Linked DNA regions of Neodiprion lecontei. The protein of the gene in region 1 purifies or fractionates together with the protein of each later gene. This does not show direct contact. Links are inferred from orthologs where the notes say so. Each region holds a gene or a part of one and is shown on either strand. Other genes may lie near its edges. The genes, in order: histone deacetylase 6; lipoamide acyltransferase component of branched-chain alpha-keto acid dehydrogenase complex, mitochondrial; mitochondrial import inner membrane translocase subunit TIM50-C; sequestosome-1.

Region 1 (5,783 bases):
TTCATTACTCTCAACACACAAGTGGATAATGTTTACTTTTCGACGACGCCACTTATCGTGATACAAGCATCTTCGGCTGCATCTGAAAATTTCCTATCAGGATGAGCAATTCTGACAAATTCTGCTAAGTCTGCAACCTTGCAAAGTGAATCAGAAAGCTCGTCAAAAATTTCTACAATTTTTCGGCTTCTTGTTTGGCTCGTAGCTTCTTCAATTAGTTCGTCTGTTTGAGCCATGGCTCTTCTTTTGAGTAGATCAAATCCTTCGGCATCGTCGAGTTCAGGAATCCCAAATAGACCCTGGAAATAATGAGATAAATGTGCCACACTGTAGAAATGGTCAAAAAAGTTCTGTTATGCAGAAATTACCGTTTCTTTTCGCGACACTAAAGAATCAATCACATCAACCGACTTTGTGTTGAATGCCGTTGCTAACGAGGACCATGTGCTAACATCTCGATACTTTCTTCTCAATCCAGTAACAACGTTGTTTCGAATCAACATCAGCATTTTCTCAACTTAGGACTGTGAATGATAATAACAGTAAAAATAAGAAGCAGTAACTGAAGTCAGTGATTAGAGATCAGAGATGAAAAGTAAGCAAATAATGGAATTAATAAACAAATAAGTGGATAAACGAATGTAATGGCTTACCTGCTATTTACATTTCTAATCGTGAATCATGTGAATATATAAGTATGTATGTACTATTGCATATTCAAGTTTGGAAATAATATTTATCAATTATTTGTGTAACATTTAAGAAATTTCCTTGTAGTGCAGCTCATATTTCTCATAAGTTTGAAGGGTTTATTAGTGTACGCCGGGTTATTCTGTGCAGGGACTCGATCAAAACTATCCTGGTAGAGTGTATGTATGTAATATGTGTACCTGTTGAGTAAGAATATCCTATTCATTAGACTTCCTGCTTACAGGACTCCGTCGGTAAGAAGAAACTTTAGATCACAATTTACCGAGTAGCGCTAGCTGCACTGATTTCTATATACATATATATTTCTATATACATATAGAAACTGTGCTACAGAGTATGAAATGATACGGTCGAATGGTCTAACGCACATGCGTTAAAATTCTAGATTTAAAAGTAGTTGTCTTGTCAGGTTGACAAAGCGTCTTAAGTTTAGATGATGGGACACCGCAATGACCGAAGGCAATGTAACCTCAAAAATTTTGACAGCTGTCGGTGGTAGGTTGTGCTCAACTTGAGTGATACCCCGATTATTCATTAATTGTTCAAATGAAAACATCCACAATCTGTCCATTCGATCTTCAGCAACTGTCATCGATAACTGTCAAAGTTATTGAGGTTACATACCTCACGGAGACCTGCCATCTAAACTTATGATGGTTGGTTAACCTGACTAAACTGTTTTTACCACTGATATATATGTATATATATATATCAGTAGGCTTTTTACTATAGAATATGGTCTCTAGCATTTCAGCGCATGCGCGTTAATCATTCGACCGTTAGCTACTCATTTCTGTAGGCAAAAACCCGTGATAAGAAATTACGTGTTGCGTTTGCCACTTTCAGTTTCTTGTTGTTTTTGTTTAAACAAAGTTTGAGAACAGGAAAACCGGTTTTTTCAGTTTTTCACTTCTAGGCAGTGTTACCAACTCAGTAGTTTTTCCACTAAATCTGGTTGTTTTTATTCTGGGGCGGTAGAAAAAATTCACTTTTAGTAGTTAGTTGATTTTGTCAGTGATATGGTTGGTCATCAGTTTTTACACGTTTTAATTCCTTAATCATCAGATGACAGCATGAAAAGTAAATCTTTTTTCCTTTTTTTTCTATGGATGTTACAGTTTATATCAATAATAAATATTCATTGTCTAATAACAGTAAAGTTTATTTGTTTTTTTTTTTTATTCGATTTTATTAGCGGTACATTGACGTCCAATGCTAATGTTATATTACCATGTATTATAAAGTAATAATTAGATCCAAATTCTATTATAGATGTTCATTTAATACATACAAATAAGATAATTATTTTTAGGCAAATATTCGCGCGCTAAATTGAAATAAAATTTTTAATACAGTCCACCAGGGGCAAGTTTAGTGGTTTTTCACTGGAATTGATTGGTCGCCTTAGTGAGAGAGAATTCAGAGTGTTGGCAACACTGCTTCTAGGATGAAAACCATGAAACAATCCGTGTACTCGGTTTCTCTCTGTACTCTGTAATGAGATGAGTTGTATAGAATTCAAAAATTTTCAAAATGCACGCTGGATCGACTCGATCGAAGAATCTTTGTCCAAGAGAAACTGAAAAATCCATCAAATTAAAAAAATCGTGGCCCAATTGGTTTTCGGTTTCAGTTACATTGCATGTCACGAATTAGATTTTCATTTTTTCTATTGGTTGGTCTACATCCCTTTGTATGGTATCCTGCTGGCACTGTTCGATCTAACTGTAACGATTAATCACAGTAGTAGAATCAAACTTAAATAATCAACGACGGATATGACGGCAGAAACTAATAAAATTGTAGTATTTTCCGGAAAAAACAGTTTCAAATAATACACGGGCGTAGCCTCAATTTTCGTGCAACAAAGTGGCGATTTACGATGAGCAATCCCATACTCTGGCGATGAGAAGCTCTTATTCAGGGGGGGAGAGAGGGTTATGTTAGGGATGTAGATAATTTTCCTTTCCATTCATCAACGATCAAACATTAATCTTGATTGAAATTCATCGATGAATGTGATGAAAAAGTTCTCCGATTCATTTGAAAAATGATCACCAATATCATATGACGAATCTGTAAATTCAGGACAATCAAATCAGGAGATTGTGAAAGTTTCGAGGTTATACTATTCACTCAACGAACGTACCGATGGTGAGACATATGTGTATTTATTCATTCCGTCATCCCACACATATAACCATAAAAGGAATCCTCATACGCTTTGCCATATATGAATATCGACATTCGATAAGAGAAGATTATTAATTCAGTTCGTTTTTCTCCCCACCCACCCACTAATTACCTACGGTTGTATACAGTTAGCATCCAGATTTGGTATTCCTGTAAATTATCATCAATTTAAAACCTGTCATTTATCCTTACCGCTTCATATATTTATTTTACAATCATGCCATTTGTACTCATCCATTCAGACAGACACAAATGCCAGTGGGAACAGCCTATTTACTGCCGCTAGACAATTGGCAGAGAGTGAAATACATCTGATCCAGGTGATAGAAGGGACCAGAAGAAGTAACAGAAAAGTTGCAAAAAGCAACATGACCACAACAGTGAAAAATGTTGGCGGTAAAAAATCAGCCAAATCGATGAGTGTGAGTATAAGATTATGGTTTTGCAAGTGATACTTGGATGAAGAAACCTGTTGCATACCTTTTTATTTACTGGTGAAATTATCACACACAGAAGTTGAGATGTATAAATATCTGCAATGTTGAGAAAGTATTAACGTTATCAATAGCAATATCTCGACATTCGAGGTAGACTGTTTACTTGTTCATTAGATATATCGGAATGCACTGCAGTTCAAAGATGCAAACTTCAATCACATTATCTAGAGATGATTTTGTACTTACTTTATTTGTGTTTATCATATAAAGCTGTTTACACTTTTTGAAATAGAAGATTTCCTGGGTTCTCATATTTATGACAAAAGTTCAAATAAATGGTTTAATGAAGTATCTTATCTCAAAAGTATTCAGATAGCCCTGCCAATCTTGCCAATGTCATGCAGTATATCTCATTATCTATCTGTGTCGCTGTAGTTTGAAAAGCAAATACAATGATAATAGTTTCATCAGTTCCACTGCACTTACAGTCAAAGTCCGTTTTAACCATTGATAAATACTCTGTATTCTGAAGCAATTTATCAATAAATTCATAAAATGTCTGAGAGTGGTGAAGAACAGGTGACAATATAATTAATTTAATGATAATTTGCAAATTGAAATTATTTTCCTTATATTTTCATTACTCAAGGCCAGGCCTTCGGCGGCGTTGGCGGCAGCAAAGCGAGAGGCAGCAGAGCGAAAGCTTGTCCACCCGAAAAAATCTGGAAACACTATCCTCAGAGACATTTACCAGAAGGCCATGGACGCCCAGACAATAACGCGTGGCGAAACAGGTCTTGTTTGGGATAGGTCGATGGAAGAACACCGGTGTCTTTGGGATTCGACATATCCGGAATGCCCTGAGAGGTTCACAAGGATTCTGGAAAGATGCAAAGACTTGGGCTTGATCAGTCGCTGCAGGGTTATAGAAGCGCGTGAAGCCACTCATAAAGAAATATTACTCAAACACACACAGCAGCATATTGATGTGCTGAAAGAAACTGCAGAATGCAAAGACGAGGACAATCTTGAAAAGTTGGCTTCAAAATATGACTCTATTTACATTCATCCTGTGAGTTGGTTGCAGAAATAACAGAAAATATATAATTTTGATTGTTATTCAATAATTTAGTAGCAAATTTGTGGATTTGCAAAGTCTGCTGATTAAATTTGGATATGCAACAATTCTTTTCAGTATACTGTATTGATAACGACTCTCTTTCCTACAGTCGACTTATAGATTATCGCTGCTGGCTACTGGCTCAACGATAATTTTACTGGAAAGCATATGTAAAAAAAAAGTACAAAACGGGATGGCTATAATCAGGTGATTATTCATTGTCCTAGTACTTCTCTTGGTCACTATTTACTATATTTCTGATACACAATTCTCGGCTCTTAGGCCGCCAGGTCATCATGCAATGAAGGCTGAATATTGTGGCTACTGTTACTTCAACAACGTAGCTATTGCTGCACAGAAAATGCTCAATGATAATTTGGCAAGCAGAATATTAATCGTTGACTGGGATGTTCATCACGGACAAGCGACCCAACAAATGTTTTACAATGATCCGAGGTAAGCGCGTAATTGCATGGTAGATGATCTTTAGTGTGAATTGGCTTCACTGTTTTCACCAAAAATTAAGAAAAGAGAAGAAACCGATTAAGAAATCTCTCACAATGTCATTTCTATTAATGCTGGTGAATACGAACGAAATAACATCCGTAATATATAATAGAAATGAATCTAAGTATATTTGTATGATACAAGCTAAGATATGAAGAATTTGAGAGAAGGATTTAAAATTCGAGCATTTTAGATTGTTGAAGACTGGTGTTCCTGTTTTAATTCTAATGTTTCTGATTTTATTCTATTCACCGACCAGATTCCCTCAAATTGTATGATAAATCTTTTAAAAAATTTACATTATAACGCAGTTATATATAACATTTAAATGTAATTGTTGTCGAACATTTGCCGTGGTGTACTTATACAAATACATTTTTTCCCAATCTGGAGATAATTATATTACTGGAGATTTTTCAAACGGCTTTTGCTATTTTCCGAACTTTTGATTTGGACAGTAAAACCAATTAATCCTTGAGAAAATTGTCAAAATGAAAATTGATATTTTTCAGTTTTCCATTGATTGGTGATTCTTATGGAAAAAAATCAACTAGATTCGTTAGATTTTACTCTACAATGGCTCATCAAGTTTGAATTTTATTGTGACACATGTGACACCATTTTGTTCCAGAGTTGTTTACTTCTCCATCCATCGATACGAACATGCCGAGTTTTGGCCAAATCTTAGGGAATCAAATTACGATTACGTTGGAGAGAAAAAAGGGGAAGGTTACAATTTCAACGTTCCCCTCAACAAAACTGGAATGACAAATGCTGACTATATCGCCATATTTCAACAGCTCCTTCTTCCAATG
Region 2 (6,150 bases), on another chromosome or scaffold:
CATACAACCAATGGAAAAAAATATAAAATGTGTACGCGAAGAGCCGAGACCATTGGATGTGGCACAATTGCGGAGCTTTTCGGGGTCTATAAATTATTATGGCAGATTTTTGTCGCACTTAGCTACAAGATTGAAACCGTTATATAATAATTTGGACAAAAATAGTAAGTTTCAATGGTCCAAGGAATGCGAGGTAGCATTCCAAAATATAAAAAAAGAACTTACATCGGATAAAATTTAAGTTCACTTTGACCCGAAGAAACCCATTGTGCTAACATGCGATGCGTTACCTTACGGCGTTTCAGCAATAATGGCTCACAAAGATGAGAACAACTACGATCGCCCGGTTCAATATGCAAGCCGATTACTAAAAACTCATGAATGCAGTTATTCTCAATTGGACAAAGAAGGGCTTGCAATTACATTTGGTATAAAATCATTCTATGAATTTCTATTTGGTTCCCTTTTCACCCTACAAACAGACAATGCCACGCTAGTCCGCATATTGCATCCGGAAAAATCAATTCCAACCATAGCCACAACGCAGTTACAGAGATGGGCGGCATTTTTAGCTGCATTCAATTACAAAATTACGCACACAAAAGGAAAAGATAATTATGCAGATTGGCTGAGCAGGCTTTCCATACCAAGTGACGATGATAAAAATGATAAGAGATTCGCAGTTATACAAGACATGCCAGATACCTTTTTGAACAATATCATAACATTCGATTTCGCGACATTGGATTGGAAGCAAGTCCAAAAAGCGACGCGCGAGGATAAAGTGCTGTGCAAAATTTTAACATTTTGTTTGAATGGATGGCCTGAAAGGGAACCAAAGGAAACAGAAATAAAAGTGTATTGGCGCAAAAAAGACGCGTTAGCGGTGGAAAATAATTGTTTATTATGGGGCCACAGAGTAATTATACCGAATAAATTACGCACTTTAGTTTTAAAAGAATTACACTGTAGCCACTTTGGAATACGTAAAACGAAAGCGTTAGCCCGTGGGTATGTTTGGTGGCCAAACATCGACGATGATATTGATCAGATAACAAAATCCTGTTTACCCTGCTTAAAAACAAATAAGAAACCGATGAAAATACCGTTAACTTCATGGGGATGGCCAACTACGCCATGGCACCGAATACACGCAGATTTTCTTGCACCAATCAATGACAAAATGGTATTAATGGTAATCGATAGCCATTCAAAATGGCCTGAAGCTTTCATTATGAATAATATGACCGAAACGGCTACAATCAAAAACTTTTCCGACTTGTTTTCTCGACACGGGTACCCGATAAATTTAGTTACAGGCAATTTCCAATCATTTCGTGGTTATAAATTTAAAGAATTCACGAAAAAGCACGGTATACGCTACAGTAGGATTCCGCCACACCACCCAGCGACAAACGGCGCGGCCGAAAATTTTGTAGACACATACAAACGAAAAATTAAATGTATGATGATGAACAACATGAATTTAGAGGATGCCACACAGCAATTCCTACATGATTACAGGTCGACCCCGCAAACGACAACAAATCAGTCTCCGACAAAGTTATTTCTTAACCGTGAATTACGGAATTGTTTCTCGCTTTTATGCCCGCATTATGTACAGGAAACGGTTGATGAAACGCATTCGAGGCAAAAAAAAAAAAAAATTATATCGGAAGAAACCGCTCACATTTCAAAGTAGGAGATATAGTCATGGTTACAGATTATCGGGGGACGCATTCATCATGGGTAAAAGCCAAAGTTTTAAAAGAATCAGTATCAGGGGTAACTTACCTTGTAGAAATTTCACCTAATATAGTATGGAAACGGCATAGCAACCAGATGAAACTGTCAATAGAAGAATGTGTCAAACAAAGTGCAGATGTTGATGCAATACCATTAATGACACGGCGGTCAGAGCGAATCCGAAATCACACAGAAAAATAAGACAACGATTAAAACATTTTTTTTTTTTCTAGTCAGAGAGAGTGTAGTAGTATGGAATACAGGCAATGTATGTGGGGAATATGGGTAAGCGTAGACACGTGTGTATGTGTTCGAGCAAGCGTGTCGATATAGACACGCCAGTATGTACTCGGTATCCGAGGTGTTAAGTAACCGCTGTACGAACCAGTTGGTGAAATAAAAGGAATAAAGCAAAACACAACAGATATCGTTGTCCACCTCATTTATCCAAGATATTACAAGATGATTGAAGAATTCAAACTGACGGGGGAAGGGGGGGGGGGGGGGGATTCCTGAAGCTGCAATTATCTTCACGCGACAAACCACCCAGATTTTTACAAAATGAAGAAATACGTACCTGAGATGTATAAGACGATGCGCGACTCGGTTATGTTTGATTTCGCAGTGCTGTTATCAGTTGTTGTTTCTCAACCGAGTAAGTTACGTAAGAATTAATCGCACCGAGCATGAATCTGACGTTCGTGATTAAATGCTATTCCGTAAGAAGCGCGGCCATTACTTGTACGGTAAGGCGGGCAAACGGAGAACGCTCGTCACTTTGTTTCGGTATCGACGTATAATCAGCTCAACGCTTAACGCGGTATGAATATCGCTCTGATTGCCAGTAACTGCAGAACTGTGCGGTCAACTCGTTGCAACATCGCAATGACGTTCTTCGTTCGTCATCTAGCTACTAGTAGATTGGTTCTACCGGTAAATGGTGCACGTATTATTGCTTATCAGTGATCAATCGTACCGTTACTTTCCTTATCTCGAACCGCTTTAATCGGTATATCGGATTCGTAAATTTTTTGCTCTTTTTCAGCCTAAGAACATCAAACTCGAGGCTGTTCTCAGATCCGTATCGACCTCGGTTTCGCTTCAGGGTCGCGTAGTGCCGTTCAAATTGTCCGACATTGGGGAAGGAATTCGTGAGGTCACGGTCAAAGAATGGTGAGCGACTTCAATCATCTCCCATGTTTGTGTTACACGAAACAAATTGAGACAGCCTGTAACATTCCCGCATTGAAAGTGTCGAACGACAGTATCAGACAGGGTGACAAATGGTTGACTATTTCTTTACCTCAGGTTCGTCAAACCTGGAGACAAAGTGAGCCAATTCGACGAAGTCTGCGAAGTACAAAGCGACAAGGCTTCGGTCACTATAACCAGCCGATACGACGGGATGATAAAAGCCCTCCGATTTAAGGTAGACGAAATCGCTTTAGTCGGACAACCGCTGGTCGACATAGAGCTGGATGACGAGGGGGAACATGGGAGCGAAGAAGTTTCGGGGACAACTGAAATATCCCCCCAGGAGAAAACAAGCCTCAACACTGAACATCAGCGGGGGAGTGAGGCCTCCCGGGAATCCCTGATCGGAAAAGTTCTCACCACTCCTGCTGTCAGGAGAATAGCCATGGAGAAGGGTATTCGATTGAAAGACGTCGTCGGAACGGGTAAAAATGGCAGAATACTAAAGGAGGACCTTCTTTCATACGATGACAACGAGACGTCTGACAGTGACATCGAGGAATCAACCAAGCCGCAAAGGCAGCCTGATAAAACGAATCGAGTCCAAGGAGAGGTTAAAACCGTTGCCCTCAAAGGATACGCGAAACACATGTGGACAACGATGACACGCTCTCTGGTGAGTCCTACCGCGTGCCAAAATCTACCCAGAGTCGAAATCTTAAGGACTCTTAGGACACATTTGTTGAACAATTCATTGCACAGATTGTAAAGAATTTCATTTCAGAGCATCCCGCACTTCGTTTACAGCGACGAATGCGACGTGACGAAACTCGTCAAGTTAAGGGATGAGGTCAAAGCCGCCATGAAGGAACGGGGGATTGCTCTGACCTACATGCCATTCTTCATAAAGGCGATATCAAAGGCTCTTGAAAAGTTTCCCGAACTCAATGCCAGGCTGAACGAAGATACTCAAACCGTCGAAGTACTACCGTGGCACAACATATGCGTGGCCATGGATACTCCGGAGGGTCTGGTCGTGCCCAACGTAAAGAACGTTCAGAATCTCGACGTCGTGACCATCGCTAAGGAACTCAACAGGCTCCAGGAACTCGGAAAAAGGACAGCCATACCACCGAGCGACTTGGCGGGTGGCACATTCACCTTGTCCAACATCGGAGTGGTAAGTAGTGTTTAAAAAATGTAGAACACAGAGATGAAGAGTAGTGAAAATCGTCAATTTTATTAATCGTTGCACACAGGTCGGCGGGACGTACACAAAGCCTGTGATATTACCACCGCAAATAGTAATCGGTGCGGTGGGAAGAACACAAAAACTGCCTCGTTTCGACGCCGATGATAAGGTAGTCGCAGCCCAGATACTGTCGGTTAGTTGGGCCGCAGACCATCGGGTGGTCGACGGTGCGACGATAGCTAAATTCTCAAACCTCTGGAAATACTACTTGGAGAATCCCGCGCTGTTGGTAATGAACTGATAATGATGACGAAATTAGCGCGAGGTAGACTTTTAAATTTCGAACAACTGTACGGCAGGATCACTGCTGGGAGATTTCTCAGGTCTGATTGTTTTTGTACTTTATAATACTACAACTCTTATGGTAGAAAAAACAAAATCGACATTCAAATATCAGTTTTTTAAATTTATTCGAAAGTGTTGACTTACAAATTTCATATAGGCAAAATATTTCGATCGTTGTAAAGAACATTCACATAAACATGTATGTACATGTAGATGTACAATATTTTTGGAAGAGCAGATCTCGAAGTTCAAGATCTGGATAACAGTGTACAAGATTTAACAACGCTTATATGCATATAAGACTATACAATATTACAATTACACGGTATTAAAATACATCATGATTACATATATCATGTGAGGCACTGGCAATTGGCGACTGGTTGAATAATAACACTTTTTCATTGTATGTTACAGTAATATCACAAAAAATATTATATACAAATTTATTGTATAAAAACATTGTTTACCTTAGGCACGTTAATAACGAGAACAACTTGATCATGTGGCAATAAGTATTAGATACTAAAAGCGAGTTGCTGTAAAGACGATCGATATAGCTAAATAAAATTGGTACGTGAATCGACAATATTATCAATTACAATATACGAGTAAAAATTGAGTAAATAAAAAAATTAATGAGAAAACAAAATGAACCACTTGAGACGTCTTTACAGGTTGCGAGCAAAAATAAACAAGGCACATTTATAAAATAGCTAATAAATCGTGTTACTGTGATCAGAGATCAGAAGTTGGGATCTATCAAGGCGACCTGGCTTTTTCATGTATCACAAGCTGAACAAATTTGGCCCTAAACTCTCTGATCTACGTCATGGCAGTAATCATAGATGGGGATTTCGGGAGGATCATCAGGCCTCAGTTTCGGCGCGCAACTTCTTGTGACCGCGACTACGCAGAGTGTGACAATAAATGAAGCTGCAAAGTGCCAGGAGAAGGAAAGAGCTAGAGTCTCGATTTTCAGAGATTCAAGATTACATTCCACAAGTGTGGCAAAATTGCATTCCACCCTGGTTCTGACCATGTGAGCGAGCCAGCTACCGTGAAGCAGAGTGGAAGCTGCCCTGAGGAGCTTCATCTCGGGCCAGACCAACTCGAGAACGACGGCAAAGGAGCTGGTCCAGACGATCCTAGCCAAGACTATCGCAGAGTTATTGGACTGGCTGGTCCACAAAAATAAAAATCCCTCGATAAAGAAGGCCTGGGCAAGCGCCATTTTGGCCAGACCGTCGCTCACGACGTGGGGAAAGTAGAAAGTGAGAACATCGACGAGGCCTGAGAGCGCAAAAAAGAGGTAAATTGTAGCGTGCACCACCTTCGGCGATGGCGCCGTCTCAACGCTGTTAGGCAAGTTTCCCGTGAGGGTGCTTGCCAAGCCCATCGCGGTCGCTAATAACTTGAGGGTTCCCTCCAGCGGATGTCGTCGTAACAGTTTCTGGCAGTTCCGAGAAGCCCTGACGAGCTTCGTCGGTTCTCGTTCGTGATCCAAATCACGGTGACTGTGCCAGTATTTAGCGTATTCGTAGCACCACTTCAATCCAAATACATAGAATATGCAACCAGATAATATATAGCCCAAGGCACTGTCATTCCGGTCCATTTTTAATATTCTTTTTTTTTTTTTTTCTTTGTTAAATTTATTTTTCTTTTTTTAT
Region 3 (6,850 bases), on another chromosome or scaffold:
GGGGAAAATTCAATAATTATTAACAATTGGACAAGCGACACAAAAATGCATTCATATGCTTTGCCATACATGCCGCCAAGTACGTCAGAAACTTTGAAAGCATGCCAAGACATAGGAAAATGTCTAGAACCGAACCTGAGAAACAGATTAGAACTTTGCAATGCTGGTACTGTGTTGAATCTAAACGATAGAAATGATGTGACTCTGTTCACTCAGAATTCAATAGGTACAATAAGTTTCGTGTAACCGCATACTAGTAACTTTTGTGAATTCAACAAAAGAAATTTAATAATTTTATATGGCTCAAATGATATAGGTGATATATTTTACCAGTGCATAACGCACGAGAAGATTTCAGGAAATGATTCAGACGTGAATACAAATTCTCTACTGGCATTAGAGGCTTGGGAAGAAGCATGTTTAGCACAGAGTAAAACTGTGAAGCCCTTAGTAATCTCAGAAAAAGCAAGTATGGAACATATATTCAATGGTGAGTTGGAAAAATGATTAAATCGAAATTTATTATTGCAAGCAAGATTGAATCAGTTACTTCAATTTCTAATGATATCTTTCACCAGAAATGAGGAATAAAAATCGTCGCTTGGAACAGAAGGAACCAAAAGTACGATGTCATGAACCGAAGTGGTTTCAGTCAGTGGAGGAATTAAATTCTTACGTTGACATTTTCGCCCCAGAACTTTTAGCAATGTGGGACATACGACAGGATTCTGCCCCCTTGACTGTAACTCCGCACCAAAAAGTGTTGAGTTGGTTGGAAAAGAAAACTCCCTCTCAAAGTACGACACAGTCACAAAATCTAACACAGTCCCAAGAAGACACATCGATAATAAACGAATCAAACGAAATTCTTTCTCAAGAATTGATTAGCGTATCTCAAAATGTACCACCCCAGTATACTCTTGATAACACTCAGAATGAGCAATCCTGTTATGATGTACCCAAATCAAAAAAATCTCGGAAAAAATTGGCTACAAAGAAAAACTACATTGCTGGTTTTTAATGAGTACCTATGTTCGAGTCGGAGAATCGGAATTTCTTTTTTTATTCTTAAAATCGAAGCACAAGTGATAGTCCATGGCGATGAAATGTTAACATTGTTATTAATATTTTTAGAACTGTTAGTTTCAGTGATCCATATATCATAATTTGCATGGAGATAAAACAGTGAGAAATAATTAATAGGAAACTGGTAACTTCGAAGGCCTGCATTAATTTTGGTAAATGTTACAGCATAGGTTAAGTCAAAAAATAAATTTTTGAAATGGTTTACAATTACTGTATATTCTTATTTACAAAATATGTTGTATTAAGTAATACAACAGGTTAAATAAATTATTCAACTTATGATTGGATATCAATAAGTAACTGTGAGTTTTCATTCATTATAGCATTTTCAAACTGGTTTTCTGATCCAGAAAGTCACGGGCGATAATGAAATGTGATTTATGCGTACTCGTTCTGACAGTAAATGCAAAAAATATTGCACTTTTCCACCTTTTACGTTCAATCGTTAACGATTCCGTAAAAATGATGGTTTCCATTTCGACATCAGCACTTTGTTGTCGTCCTTCAATGACTTGTGTTCATCCTCCTCCATTTGTAGCTAAAGAAAAGTAAATCGTTCGTTCAATCTATCGTAAATTTATTGCTGTAGACTATGTTTTTAAATAATCATAAAAATCAATTTGATTATTTTTATATAAATAGTGACTACTTACCAAAAGTTTTCGTTGGTTCTCTCTGAAAGCTTCTAATGGATTGTCAAATTGTTTGTAGTAATTAAGAACATCCCTCACATCTTCTACATTTGTTGCTGATATCACTGTAAAAAGGTGAATTTTGCGTTACAGCATTTCAACTTTCTGATTTGCAGGTAACTCATTTTCGTGTAAGCTATCTCGAAATATCGTTAAGTGATCTAGCATTCATTTAATAAATTTCTAATTTAAACATACTTTTGAGGAATGCAGCTAAGTCATACAAAGTCGTATCATCATCGTTCCCTTTCCACCTTGGAAGCTTCAGTATATTTTCAGGATTGAGTTTCACACTTTCGCTATTCCAATCGACTACGATTACCTAAGAAAATCAAAGCATGTAAATCATAGTTAATAATTAAACGATACAAGATGAAGAAACATAACAGGTACTTGGAATATGCCTCTTTATAGCAACTATTTATTTACTATTATTATTCTAGTTTGGAACAAATTCTTATCCCTGCCAAGTGTTTTTTTTTTCCAATGCTTTACACATTGTATTGAACTCACTTTACTGAGATCCCTGTTAAGTGCAGCCAAATCCTTGACGTGGTGCCCATCCACAAAACGCGTTGCATCTCTCACCAGTCTGTACATAATATATCCTTGCGGGTCTAAAGCATCCAAGATGGGGAAAACAGTCTGAAATTTATTGAAATTTTGCATACGTAAAGAAATATTTCAGAAAGTAAACGCACAGTATGCTGTATAAAATACTCACCATTCCTTGTTCGGCTGTGTAAATCACAATTTCAAATTGAGGTGGTGCAACAGCCTCCAAAAACTGATCGACTCCTGGACGTTTCTTAAATCTCCAACCAGTTTGGTACTGTTAGAAAATAATGACCAGTTTGTTAGAGTGAAAGTTGTATGAATTATCATCTCATGATGAGTAGTGGTTGTAATTATTGAATTGGAGTATATTCAACGACAAATTAAATGGAACTACATTGTATTTCATGATTCGACTTTTGCATGGTCTACATAGTAGTCACAGAATGTAATTCAGAACTTTATTAACATTGTCATAGTGAATAACGCAGTAAATGCTTACCGTCCAATCAGGGTGAACCAATACATCTGTCAATTCAAGAATCAAGGTATATGGAGGTTGCATATAAGGATATTTCAATGGATCTGGTAGTAACTTCTCTCTACTTGGTTCTTGAACAAGCTGTATGAACAGATTTGATGTTGTTGATTGATTAGAACAGGGGTATTGAATTTAACAAAAAAAAGCCTTGATATCATACTTTTTTGTAGTAGTTTAGTTCCCTACGTAGTCTCTTGTACAACTGTTCGAAGTAAGGTAAATTACTGAATTCATCTTCGATAATGTTTCCTTGTTCGTCAACATTGGGTCTAGCTAATTCATAAATTAAGAAAGAGCCCATCACACCCATCGATACTCCAAAGAATGCAAAGCTATACTTCATCATTTTCCACGAATGTTCTCGCTGCTTTTTATCTTCGGCTTCTTGTTTTTTCTGATCCGCATCTTGACTCGACTCTTCATTTTGACCACCTGTTGCACTCACGGGTTTTAAATTTTGATCAACTGTCGATTGTATGTTTGTAAGACTCCCAGCTATCCCAGGACGGTTTGCTAATGAAACATGAATAAAATAAACCCACTAATGTAACACACTTTGAATACAAGCAAGCTTTTACCTTATCTTTAAATAACTTTAAGAAATTAATTCAATGCTGTGATATTTCTTGATAAACTTTGAAAAAAAAAAAGTTCACATATTTTGTTTTGCAAGGAAAACATTTAACGTTTGTTTACTGATTGTATTGTACGATTAAAGTTAGCCTCCCTCCCAAGCGGTTCAGAATAAGATGACACTCAGCTGTAAAAAACACTCATTGTATTTGAATTACATTTTTTTGAATGACGAAAACGTATCCAAAGGCTTAATTCCTCACGTGCTAATTTGCAGAGCTTATTTTTGACAGAGTATACGGAAAATAATTGTGATATTAAAATTAGCTTTAATGCAGAGTTGTAGTAATGCAGATTCGCCGATACGAGAACAGTAAATAGAGTTTTCAACGGTTTTTTCTACGGTATTAAATTCGTTTATCAAAGTCTCGCAAGGTTGAGGTTATGTCGTTAGCGCAATGTACTCACGATCGGTGCTGTAATAAAATTTTTGTGCTGACTGAACAACGGATAATTTTCTAATCGGTTGACGGAGCGTTGAATACGTTCCGCACCTGTTGCTATTGTATATTTTACAGAAAACTCGTAATCCTCGAGCCGCGAATGCCATCGCTTATCACGTACCACACTTTGATCAGTTGGATGGTTGAAATATTTTGTGAAGAAATGCCGGGATTTTTCGGGTAAGCACAGTCTACTAACTTATCGGTAGATTCCCAAACTGCCGAAATATCGAAACACACGTGGAAAACCGATGTATTTGCAAATTTCGAAATCACCAGGATGAACATAATTTTGTTTTTCTGTTGGAAAAAAGATGAGTGTTTTCCAATTGGGAAGTAATGAAGCTTCCGAAAGTTTTGTCAGAAATTACAGGAATAATCGACTTTCCGAAGGCTCAGTGGCTACAATTTTCGGAGTTCGTAGAAGTTCGCAAAATTATGTAGCCCTTCTTTACTGAACATTAGATTTTCCAACCAAATTTCATTCAAGCTGATTTAGTGATTTCTCCTGAATTTGAAAGATCATTCACGTTGAAAAATTGCTTCCACTTAACGGTTTGGTGGAATGAATGACCAGAATAGGTGTATTTCCATAATAACTTCTCGATACCATATGAATATTCTTTCGTGCAAGATGATTATTCAATAATAAATTTTTATTTCAAGTTATATTGTATAAATATAGATAATACCATCATCATATCTCTGTGTAGATGCCAAAAGGTAATGCTGAGCATTTTATAAGGTATATTGGCATTTCCATATTATTGAATTAGCGATCATTTAGTTGAGCACTTCTTTAAAAAAAGATTCGATATTAACGAATATTAGTTACTCCGACTAGTGTATCCAATATGCCTAAATTTTGAATGGACAATTGCAGAAATACAAATCAACTTTTTCGTTAAAATAATAATGATTCATTCAGGAATTTCAAAATGAAGGGTCTACCGAAAAACAGTCAAAATTTTTTAAACAATTTATAAATGCATCATTACTAATTTTATCGCACAATTCAACTGAGAAAATATTAACCACCAAGAGAGCTTCTGGAATTTTTTCTTTTCTCTGTATAGACGGTTTTTCTCTAAGTATTTGTTTCCTTACTTATTGTATAATAACAGCCATATGTTTGAACGCTTAGTAGAATAAAATATAGTATAGATTTTAAAGTACAAATTTTTGAACAAGAATTAAAGAATAGGTATTATATGCATTTAGTTTTTTCTTAGACTTCGTAACTCAATGGTGTTTCGTTTGCATTATATTTTTTCGATGAAGCATCTTGACCATCTTTTTTGCCGTGAAACCGGCACGGCCACCCCAATGCTTTCGATCTCTTGTCTCCTTTGGTTGGACCCAGTAATCGTAAGACTCTTCATCATCTATTCGTTCTTTGGAATTCGATCGACATTTGTCTGGTCCATAACATTTAGAACCAACTTTCGCAAAAACCTTTTCTCGAGCATCTTGACGCGAAGAAGCACGTTCGAAGAACCATTCAGAGCGATGATTACCATCGCGATGCATCTCCCGAGCATGAGATCTGTAAATTTCGAGTTTACACATTTATAGGAATACAAAATACTGGTCGATTTAGAGTAAGTTCTTGTAAATCATGTTACCTTTGTAGTTGCCAATCGCCTGATAACTGACCACTACTCTTTTGATTGGTGTTTTGCTTTTTTGAATCTTTTTGAATTTTCGTAGGCCTCATCTTCGGAGGCGGCAAAGTTTTTTCGTTATACATAACTTTTTTTAAATCTTCAGTATCATAATTGTTCTGTGTTTTTATCCACTTTTTACCGCGCTTCTTCTTGCGTTTTTTGTTATTATCTTTGTTTTCGTCATTAGATACCACTTTTTTCTTTGATTGAGTTGATGTAGTAGAATCATTGGAACATTTTTCACCCTTTCGACAGAGTTTGAGAGACCCGTTCGATGAAGGAATTTTTTCATTGCTTTGTAACAGCTTTTCTTTGTATACCTCTTCTGAAATTTCTTCGCATAATGGAGATTCTTGGAATCCTGGAGCCACATCATGTTGTACAACCGACTGGCGAATGTTAGCATTCCACTGCTCTTTCATGATCTTGACATTCTGTAATACATTAATATCACTTTCACTTGGGGTGACATCGTGCTTTGTCTCGCGCAAGTTATCCTTTTCTTCGGCGCTCACCTTTGTATACAAAATTGAAAACAACATTCAGAAGGAGAGCAAATTACTTAACGAATCAATTCACACGATTTCCCAAGGTGTAAATTACAAATAAAATGCTCGCAAACCATCAATTTCTTACCTCGCTTGGGAACTTGACACTATGTGGTTTTTCCTCATCCAATTTTCCCTGCTCAGATGGCACAGCATTGCTTGTTGATTTTAAAATGGTCGAATACAACGGTTTTTCTTTTGCATTTGGTACTTCAGGCTTGACCATTTTATCGCAAATAGATTCTAATTCAACCCAAAGGTTTTGACTCATAGGACAAGTTTCTGCTGGCACTAGTATTTCCATCACAGAATTTTTACAGCTTTGCGAATCTCTGCTTGATTTCATAATCTTGGTTCTCTTCTTACCCCGTTTTATGCCATTCTCTAACAGAATTCTCCCGGACTCTTGTTTAGTGTCTTTTCCTTCTAGGCGAACATTTGGTTTTTTTTTCCAAAAATCAATATTTTTATTGTAATTGTAAGTCAAATCTGGCATTGAACTGTCGCTAGAGTAATCTTTTGAAAAATCATTTTCAGTTCCAGAAGACGAGTTTTCGGATAAGCTTGCTATTGCTTTACCTGTAGTCTTCGGGTAAATTTTTCGATTCGATATTCGTTTTTCTTTTGTTTCTATAGAACGTGCATTTGGCTTTAAGGTAACGTTTAATACTCTGTCGCAGCTCTT
Region 4 (5,813 bases), on another chromosome or scaffold:
TCTTGTGTATCCTTTTTCAAAGTATTATTTATAGAAATGATTTCTATTTTTTTTTTTAATCATTGAACCAAAATGTTGTCTTTGAATGTTCATCGTTAATACTTCAGGTAGTTTCTTAACTCTTTGAGTAGACGGACCATCCGGATGTGGAAAGACACTTTCAATGGCACACATTTTACACTATGGATTGGCAACACAGAAAGTACTGATTCACATACCTTGGGGTATGTAACAGGGTATTAAGATCCATGCAGCTGGAAACTATTTTAAAAATCGCAATGCACGTTATTGATCTTTATTTCTAGCCCCAAATTGGTTCAGACATCCAAAAGAAGTGGCCAATTCGACTACCAGAGAAGGCTATGTCGACTTACCAATAGATGCTGCTGCTTGGCTAATACATTTCAAGAATCAGAATTCCCAACTTTTGGAACAGCTCAAGGTACGTATCGACGTGCAATTAGTTTTGATCGGGAACTTAATGCAACGAAACTTGTACCAAATTTTTAGCTCACTACCGACAAGGAGTACACGTGGAGTTTACGAGAATCAACACCTCGTGGAGTACCCTTGATGCAGCTGATTGATCTGGGAATCAATCGGGTGAGGTATGCTTCGGAAATAATAATCGCCCTTACCTCAGAGCTGAAGGAAGCCAGTATTGCGGGAAAATGTCAAACGCTAGTGATGATCGATGGCTACAATATATTCTTTACGGACCGCACAAGAGTATTCACTGATGCTAAAGCAATGGTGCTACCTGACAAAGTATCACTCACTATTGCCGCATTGGAAATGACGAAATACGATTGGTGCAACGGAGCTGTTGTCGTGAGCGTGGATCAATTAGCTGTCGGGGTAAATTAGCGAACATTTTACCCGTTTTTTGATCATCTGAATACTAGATTCATGATAACTTATTTGGTCTTCATCTAGGGCAAAAAAGAATCTGATCTTCCAAGATTGCTACTTGGAAAAGCCGGCTTTGAGCATTTGGATCCCTTTATGCCAGTATCTGTGAACCCCTACACGGATTCCGAGTTTTATAATGTTATGGATTACTTCAAAGATAGACGGTGGGTCAGAAACTGCGATGACGAGGGATTACAAGAGTTGAAACTCTTATCTGCCAAAAATGGTTTCAAACTTATGAATTTATGCGCAGCTTTGTAAGATGGATATGTAATAATTGAAATAAAAGTTGTTTAGCTTAGAATAATTTTCGTAAATTAAGGTATTAAATTCATAGGAAAAGTAGGTTTATCGTGAAATCAAGTAAATAGTCAATTCAATGCTTTTTGCTTTGTTTATATTTTAGGAATCAGAAAACAAAGTCAATACAATCACCATTGCAGGAATTATTATCATTTCTCACAGTAAAACATGAGCAAACAAAAGGGAATGCTTTTTTTCGGTAGTTACGTACAATATAAACGGTAAAAGTAATAAAATTGCAGTAAAAACTATGCACATGATAGATATCAAACATATATCGTTAGTGAATTAGCAGTTTAGTCGTCAACAATTAACCACTACTTTCGTCATGTTTTTTTTACTGCTTGCTATTGCCGGGACGAACTGGTTGCAGAATATCCAGAGCCTTGCTAATGTCACCATTTTTGGAAGCCAGCAGCTGAGTAAGCCATCCGCCTTCATTTGTGAAACCCATCTGCATCATTGCAACCACAGCGCGTTGGATGTTTGGGTCGGGGTGATAAATTGGGATCGGAGCCTCGGCCTGTTGCGGCAATTTGGGATAAATTGGTTTCGTAGCTACGGTAGAAGCCAATATCGGAACTGGTGCAGAAGCTGTCGGAACAGTTGTTGACGGCTGAAAACAAACAATATAATAGAACACCGATCACTTTTCAATGCATGGAATCAAATTGCAATTTATTGTAAGAGAAATTTACCACTTTAGGTACGGCTCCAGTAGACAAACTGATGCTCGAAACTCCTTCAGTAACGTAAGAGACCGGGGTATCCTGTTGATTAAGCAGTGTCCACTCCTCGCTTTCCATGTTAGGTTTGTCGATAGGTGCGGAAGCATCGACAGTAGGCTGATGTACAGGGTTCTCAGAAGTCGATGCAGTATCAACTAGCTTCTTTCCTTCCCCAGGAAATTTGTGTGCCGAAGTACTAGGTGGGCTGTTCTCAGGTGGGGTTTTTGCGTTACCGCCAGCAGGAGCCTTCCCAGCTGCATTGGGAGCCTCGGCATGAACTTCAACGTCGATACTCAATGGGTTCAAAAAATTGGCTAGATTCTCTCCGACATTCTTAAAAAGCTCTGCCTGTCGATTGATCCTTCGCTTGTCCTCAGTTTCAGTCTTAGATTCTTCACCCACCTTCTGCCCAGGTTGTTCTTTCATTGGGCAGCTTCCTTCTGACGGAAGTTGAGCCCATTCGTTCAAGTAGGCAGTTACAGTGTCCAGCCAAGAAGGTCTATCCGCCTCCAGTCTCCCAGCGTGCGAGTTATGGGTAAACTTTACCCTCTTGTAGGGACACTTTGTCAAATCTGTATCTCTTGCAGTCCGCCCATTCTTTCTGGCTAACTTGTACATGAAGTGCGATAGTCGACGTCCAACGTGGGGGTTCCACTGCAACGGGACTGGACTGCGTATCATACAGTGCTCCGGATGAAGTCCCTTGGACTCGCAATCCGCGCACAGGTCATAGTTTGGGCATTGGATGCACTTGTAACGAAATCCATGGACATCCTTTTCACATCCGTCGCAAATTATGTCGATGTGAATGGCCTGTGGCTGCTCGGCGTCCGGCTGAGCATTCTCAGCTGGGTACTCGGAGTGCAGGACGACGTACAGTTTGCGAATGCTTTGCTCAGCAGTTTCGGATAGGGCAATTCTGAGCTCCTCGTCGCTGGATACGATGACGTTGTCACCGTCAGCGTCTGTGATTAGAAAGTTTGTGTCATTACTATAATTTTTCAAATTTACAATATACAGATTTTGGAATTGCGCAATAACGTTGACGATGATTACTCGCATTTTACGCGATTATCAGATTGATATTTCGTACCTTTCCAAGAGATGGTAAAACGCCGCGAGCGGAGTGCCGCGAAGACGGACTGCAGCTTCTCGTTCAGGTAGAGAAAATTCGTCACTACGTCCTTATCGATGCCGAATCTCCTAACTTCGGGCTTAGCGTCGATGGGGTCCTCCTCTTTGGACAAGAATACTTTGAAGCTGACCGTCTCAGACATCATTGTGGATGTTGAACTGATTGTGAACTCAGAATGTCAGAAGCTCTGGAATGTAGATTCGCGTGTTGTGTATTTTTCAACCTCGTAAACGCCTTGAATCGTTTACAAATCGCTTTGTTTTTTGAAGCGTGCACAGAAGCGTCGTCAGGCGATGAGAGTCTTCGAATGATGTGCGCAGTTGCCAAACGGTGATTTTTATACTCGACGCAATCCGCAAGCGGCCATTCGTCTCAACTGGCGCGCAGGTCGCGCGAATGGCGCCGTGCCACGACGTTCGAAATTCGAATTTAAAACACCGTGACACAGCTTTCGGGGATTACTTCGAGATGATGTAGCTTGAAGAAACTCGTCGCACAACTTCAACGAGAAATGTCATCATGTAAATTTCATCCGACGACTCGAAATTGTGGAAAATTCTACATTTGAAAAGTCGACATTTAAACATTCGAACCTCAAAATGGCGTCTTCGGCCTGCATGAGATGCAATTTTCGTGCGCAGCACGTCACTTTGTTGCCATTGTCATCATTATTCATCGTGACTCACTACCACGTGAGGTATACAACGACAAGTTATCAATATCTGGATACGTGGATTACTGGGTGAATAATGCGTACATTACGAATATTCAGATAGCCTAATTTGCAATCGGAATTACGCGATACGGATTCGAAAATCTAATCTTTCAATGTTTCCAACTTGACTCATACGGTGAAAAAATGTAGATATTCTGCACCGGTGGAAAAACATTAATTTTCGTTTGCATCCATTAATTTTAAGTACTGCGTTTAAGTTTATAATCAAATGAAATTTCGCTGAAATTTTTACCCATAGAACTGGCATTGGAATATACCAGAAGCATCTTGAAATTTCTTTTCTTGTGACTCACACCTGATAGAACATTAAATTTTTTCTTTCATGTTTTACGCCGTGCTTCCTATCTACATTTCGCTACAGGTTGCGTGAGGTTGCGTCAGTGTGAAGCCAAACTGGGTATCCAGCGGCATCGCATTACATGGCAGAATTGATGCCGAAAGTTGACGAGTTCACTCGCTCAAGCTTCACTAACAATGAATCATTTATACTAGAACATTCCCAACTTCTATGCCCTCGTGAAAATTTATCCTCTAAACTTTGTTGAGAGACGATGATAAAAGAATCTAAAAAGTTAGGTGATTCAAGATTTTCCAGAGTAGGTCACAGCAAATTAGAAAACAGAAAAGTAGTGGAATTATATCCAATTTCATCTGGTTAAAGGATTTCTTATTCAAAGAAACTAAACAATAGTTTTTCAAAGCAAAGTTTCTCCCGGTGTTGGTATTAATACGGGTATGATTAAATAGCCTATACGATATTCGAAAGGATGGAAATCCGCATGCGGATACAACATACGAATTTTGTTTAGGATAGTTGTAACGTACCTGAAACAGCAGGCAAATAAAATAATCTTATATCTACAGTTATTTGAACGCGTTTTACAATATAAATAGTCTTTGCAAAAGTTCAATAAAATATATGAAATATACACGCAGTTGGTGTATAATTTTGGTAAAGTTTACAACTTGTGCGTGGGAATAAATTATCGCCTCGACGACTACCTAGAATCTGGTCTCTGATAGTTTTCGTAAGATTCTCCAGAGACAAGATCAGCGGAGGATAATAGTATAATACGCGTTCTTATTATAAACGGAAACTTTTGCAAGTGTGTAAGTAACTAAACGCACGGTGAAAGCTGAAGCAAATACAATTTTCCTACGCTATCATGGCTTTGACTACTTATACGCGTATATGTAGCCACAGAATGCGACTTACATACATTCAGTAGTTGCTGAAGTTATTACGCAAGAAATTATTCTAGGCTTGCGCAACGCGGTTATGACATTGTTCGCAAGTATTAATTGCATTCTATTTGATTTCTATTTGAAATTTCGTATTATAGGCCACGTTACCGCGGAAGAATACAGACATTAATTAGTATAGGCCGAAACATCGTTCGTAACATCGAACGATTATCACCCTAGCAATTTTATTTATTTCGAGACAGCACATTGTTATTAAATACTCGCATATTCACACGCTGATTTAAAACTCGCACAGGTATGATACCACATATATAATGTATGAGAAAATACGTTATACCGACAGCGATCTATACAGCTAATAAGCAGAGTAGTAAAACGCGAAGATCTCAGCGGCGGATAAGAAGTGCTGCAGGATTATTTATTAACAGCTGGTGGTGGCACGATGCTATCCTGCACTATTACCGTCGGCACTGATATTAGGTATTAGTTATTGCTGCGGCGCCAGTCGATTCCAGACCTGCAAAAAGAAATGCGGACCGTTACTCCGACCGCCAAAATCCTCCTCATCTCCCTTTTGGCCGCCTCATCGATCGGCGATATCCCCAAAGTACCGAATTATTTCAGCCTGGTAACCCAGGTGCATACTTACTTCGGTACTTCCTGCGTATTTTTGGTCCGCAGTAGAAACGACAGTAAGTTTGATTATAATTGAATGAGAATTTAATCAAGAATCACATCATCGAGTTTCATTGATCCGCTTTTCCTTAGCTTTGAACAACGTGTATCGCGAAGG

Evidence for each region.
Region 2: the proteins of histone deacetylase 6 (region 1) and lipoamide acyltransferase component of branched-chain alpha-keto acid dehydrogenase complex, mitochondrial purify together in Homo sapiens (affinity purification with mass spectrometry; 3 studies listed by BioGRID and IntAct, with this or other methods). This does not show direct contact. The link is inferred for Neodiprion lecontei from reciprocal best matches to the Homo sapiens genes HDAC6 and DBT.
Region 3: the proteins of histone deacetylase 6 (region 1) and mitochondrial import inner membrane translocase subunit TIM50-C purify together in Homo sapiens (affinity purification with mass spectrometry; 3 studies listed by BioGRID and IntAct, counting the BioPlex papers as one, with this or other methods). This does not show direct contact. The link is inferred for Neodiprion lecontei from reciprocal best matches to the Homo sapiens genes HDAC6 and TIMM50.
Region 4: the proteins of histone deacetylase 6 (region 1) and sequestosome-1 purify together in Homo sapiens (affinity purification with western blotting; 6 studies listed by BioGRID). This does not show direct contact. The link is inferred for Neodiprion lecontei from reciprocal best matches to the Homo sapiens genes HDAC6 and SQSTM1.

Annotation. Positions count from the first base shown.
Region 1 is NC_060261.1:13,092,182-13,097,964, forward strand, and holds the start of histone deacetylase 6, read left to right. Parts: upstream 1-2,215; 5' UTR 2,216-2,862; coding exon 2,863-2,865; intron 2,866-3,146; coding exon 3,147-3,326; intron 3,327-3,384; exon of another isoform or gene 3,385-3,517; intron 3,518-3,806; exon of another isoform or gene 3,807-3,896; coding exon of another isoform or gene 3,897-3,920; intron 3,921-3,990; coding exon 3,991-4,413; intron 4,414-4,570; coding exon 4,571-4,668; intron 4,669-4,743; coding exon 4,744-4,917; intron 4,918-5,599; coding exon 5,600-5,783. Other genes in the region: mitochondrial intermediate peptidase, read right to left, coding at 37-299, 369-509.
Region 2 is NC_060264.1:33,776,164-33,782,313, reverse strand, and holds lipoamide acyltransferase component of branched-chain alpha-keto acid dehydrogenase complex, mitochondrial, read left to right. Parts: upstream 1-2,436; 5' UTR 2,437-2,568; coding exon 2,569-2,679; exon of another isoform or gene 2,680-2,683; coding exon of another isoform or gene 2,684-2,686; intron 2,687-2,791; coding exon 2,792-2,919; intron 2,920-3,054; coding exon 3,055-3,616; intron 3,617-3,724; coding exon 3,725-4,120; intron 4,121-4,199; coding exon 4,200-4,433; 3' UTR 4,434-5,066; downstream 5,067-6,150. Other genes in the region: transmembrane protein 45B, read right to left, coding at 5,289-6,095. UniProt on the Homo sapiens protein: The branched-chain alpha-keto dehydrogenase complex catalyzes the overall conversion of alpha-keto acids to acyl-CoA and CO(2).
Region 3 is NC_060265.1:20,613,957-20,620,806, reverse strand, and holds mitochondrial import inner membrane translocase subunit TIM50-C, read right to left. Parts: upstream 4,191-6,850; 5' UTR 4,058-4,190; coding exon 3,916-4,057; intron 3,388-3,915; coding exon 3,035-3,387; intron 2,956-3,034; coding exon 2,836-2,955; intron 2,611-2,835; coding exon 2,503-2,610; intron 2,424-2,502; coding exon 2,292-2,423; intron 2,101-2,291; coding exon 1,977-2,100; intron 1,844-1,976; coding exon 1,740-1,843; intron 1,625-1,739; coding exon 1,532-1,624; 3' UTR 1,040-1,531; downstream 1-1,039. Other genes in the region: uncharacterized protein LOC107223411, read left to right, coding at 1-226, 317-490, 579-1,021; uncharacterized protein LOC107223414, read right to left, coding at 5,193-5,496, 5,576-6,132, 6,254-6,850. UniProt on the Homo sapiens protein: Essential component of the TIM23 complex, a complex that mediates the translocation of transit peptide-containing proteins across the mitochondrial inner membrane. Has some phosphatase activity in vitro; however such activity may not be relevant in vivo.
Region 4 is NC_060266.1:21,785,622-21,791,434, reverse strand, and holds sequestosome-1, read right to left. Parts: upstream 3,404-5,813; 5' UTR 3,224-3,403; coding exon 3,037-3,223; intron 2,909-3,036; coding exon 1,914-2,908; intron 1,832-1,913; coding exon 1,553-1,831; 3' UTR 1,293-1,552; downstream 1-1,292. Other genes in the region: 28S ribosomal protein S29, mitochondrial, read left to right, coding at 1-6, 132-224, 306-442, 511-858, 937-1,173. UniProt on the Homo sapiens protein: Molecular adapter required for selective macroautophagy (aggrephagy) by acting as a bridge between polyubiquitinated proteins and autophagosomes.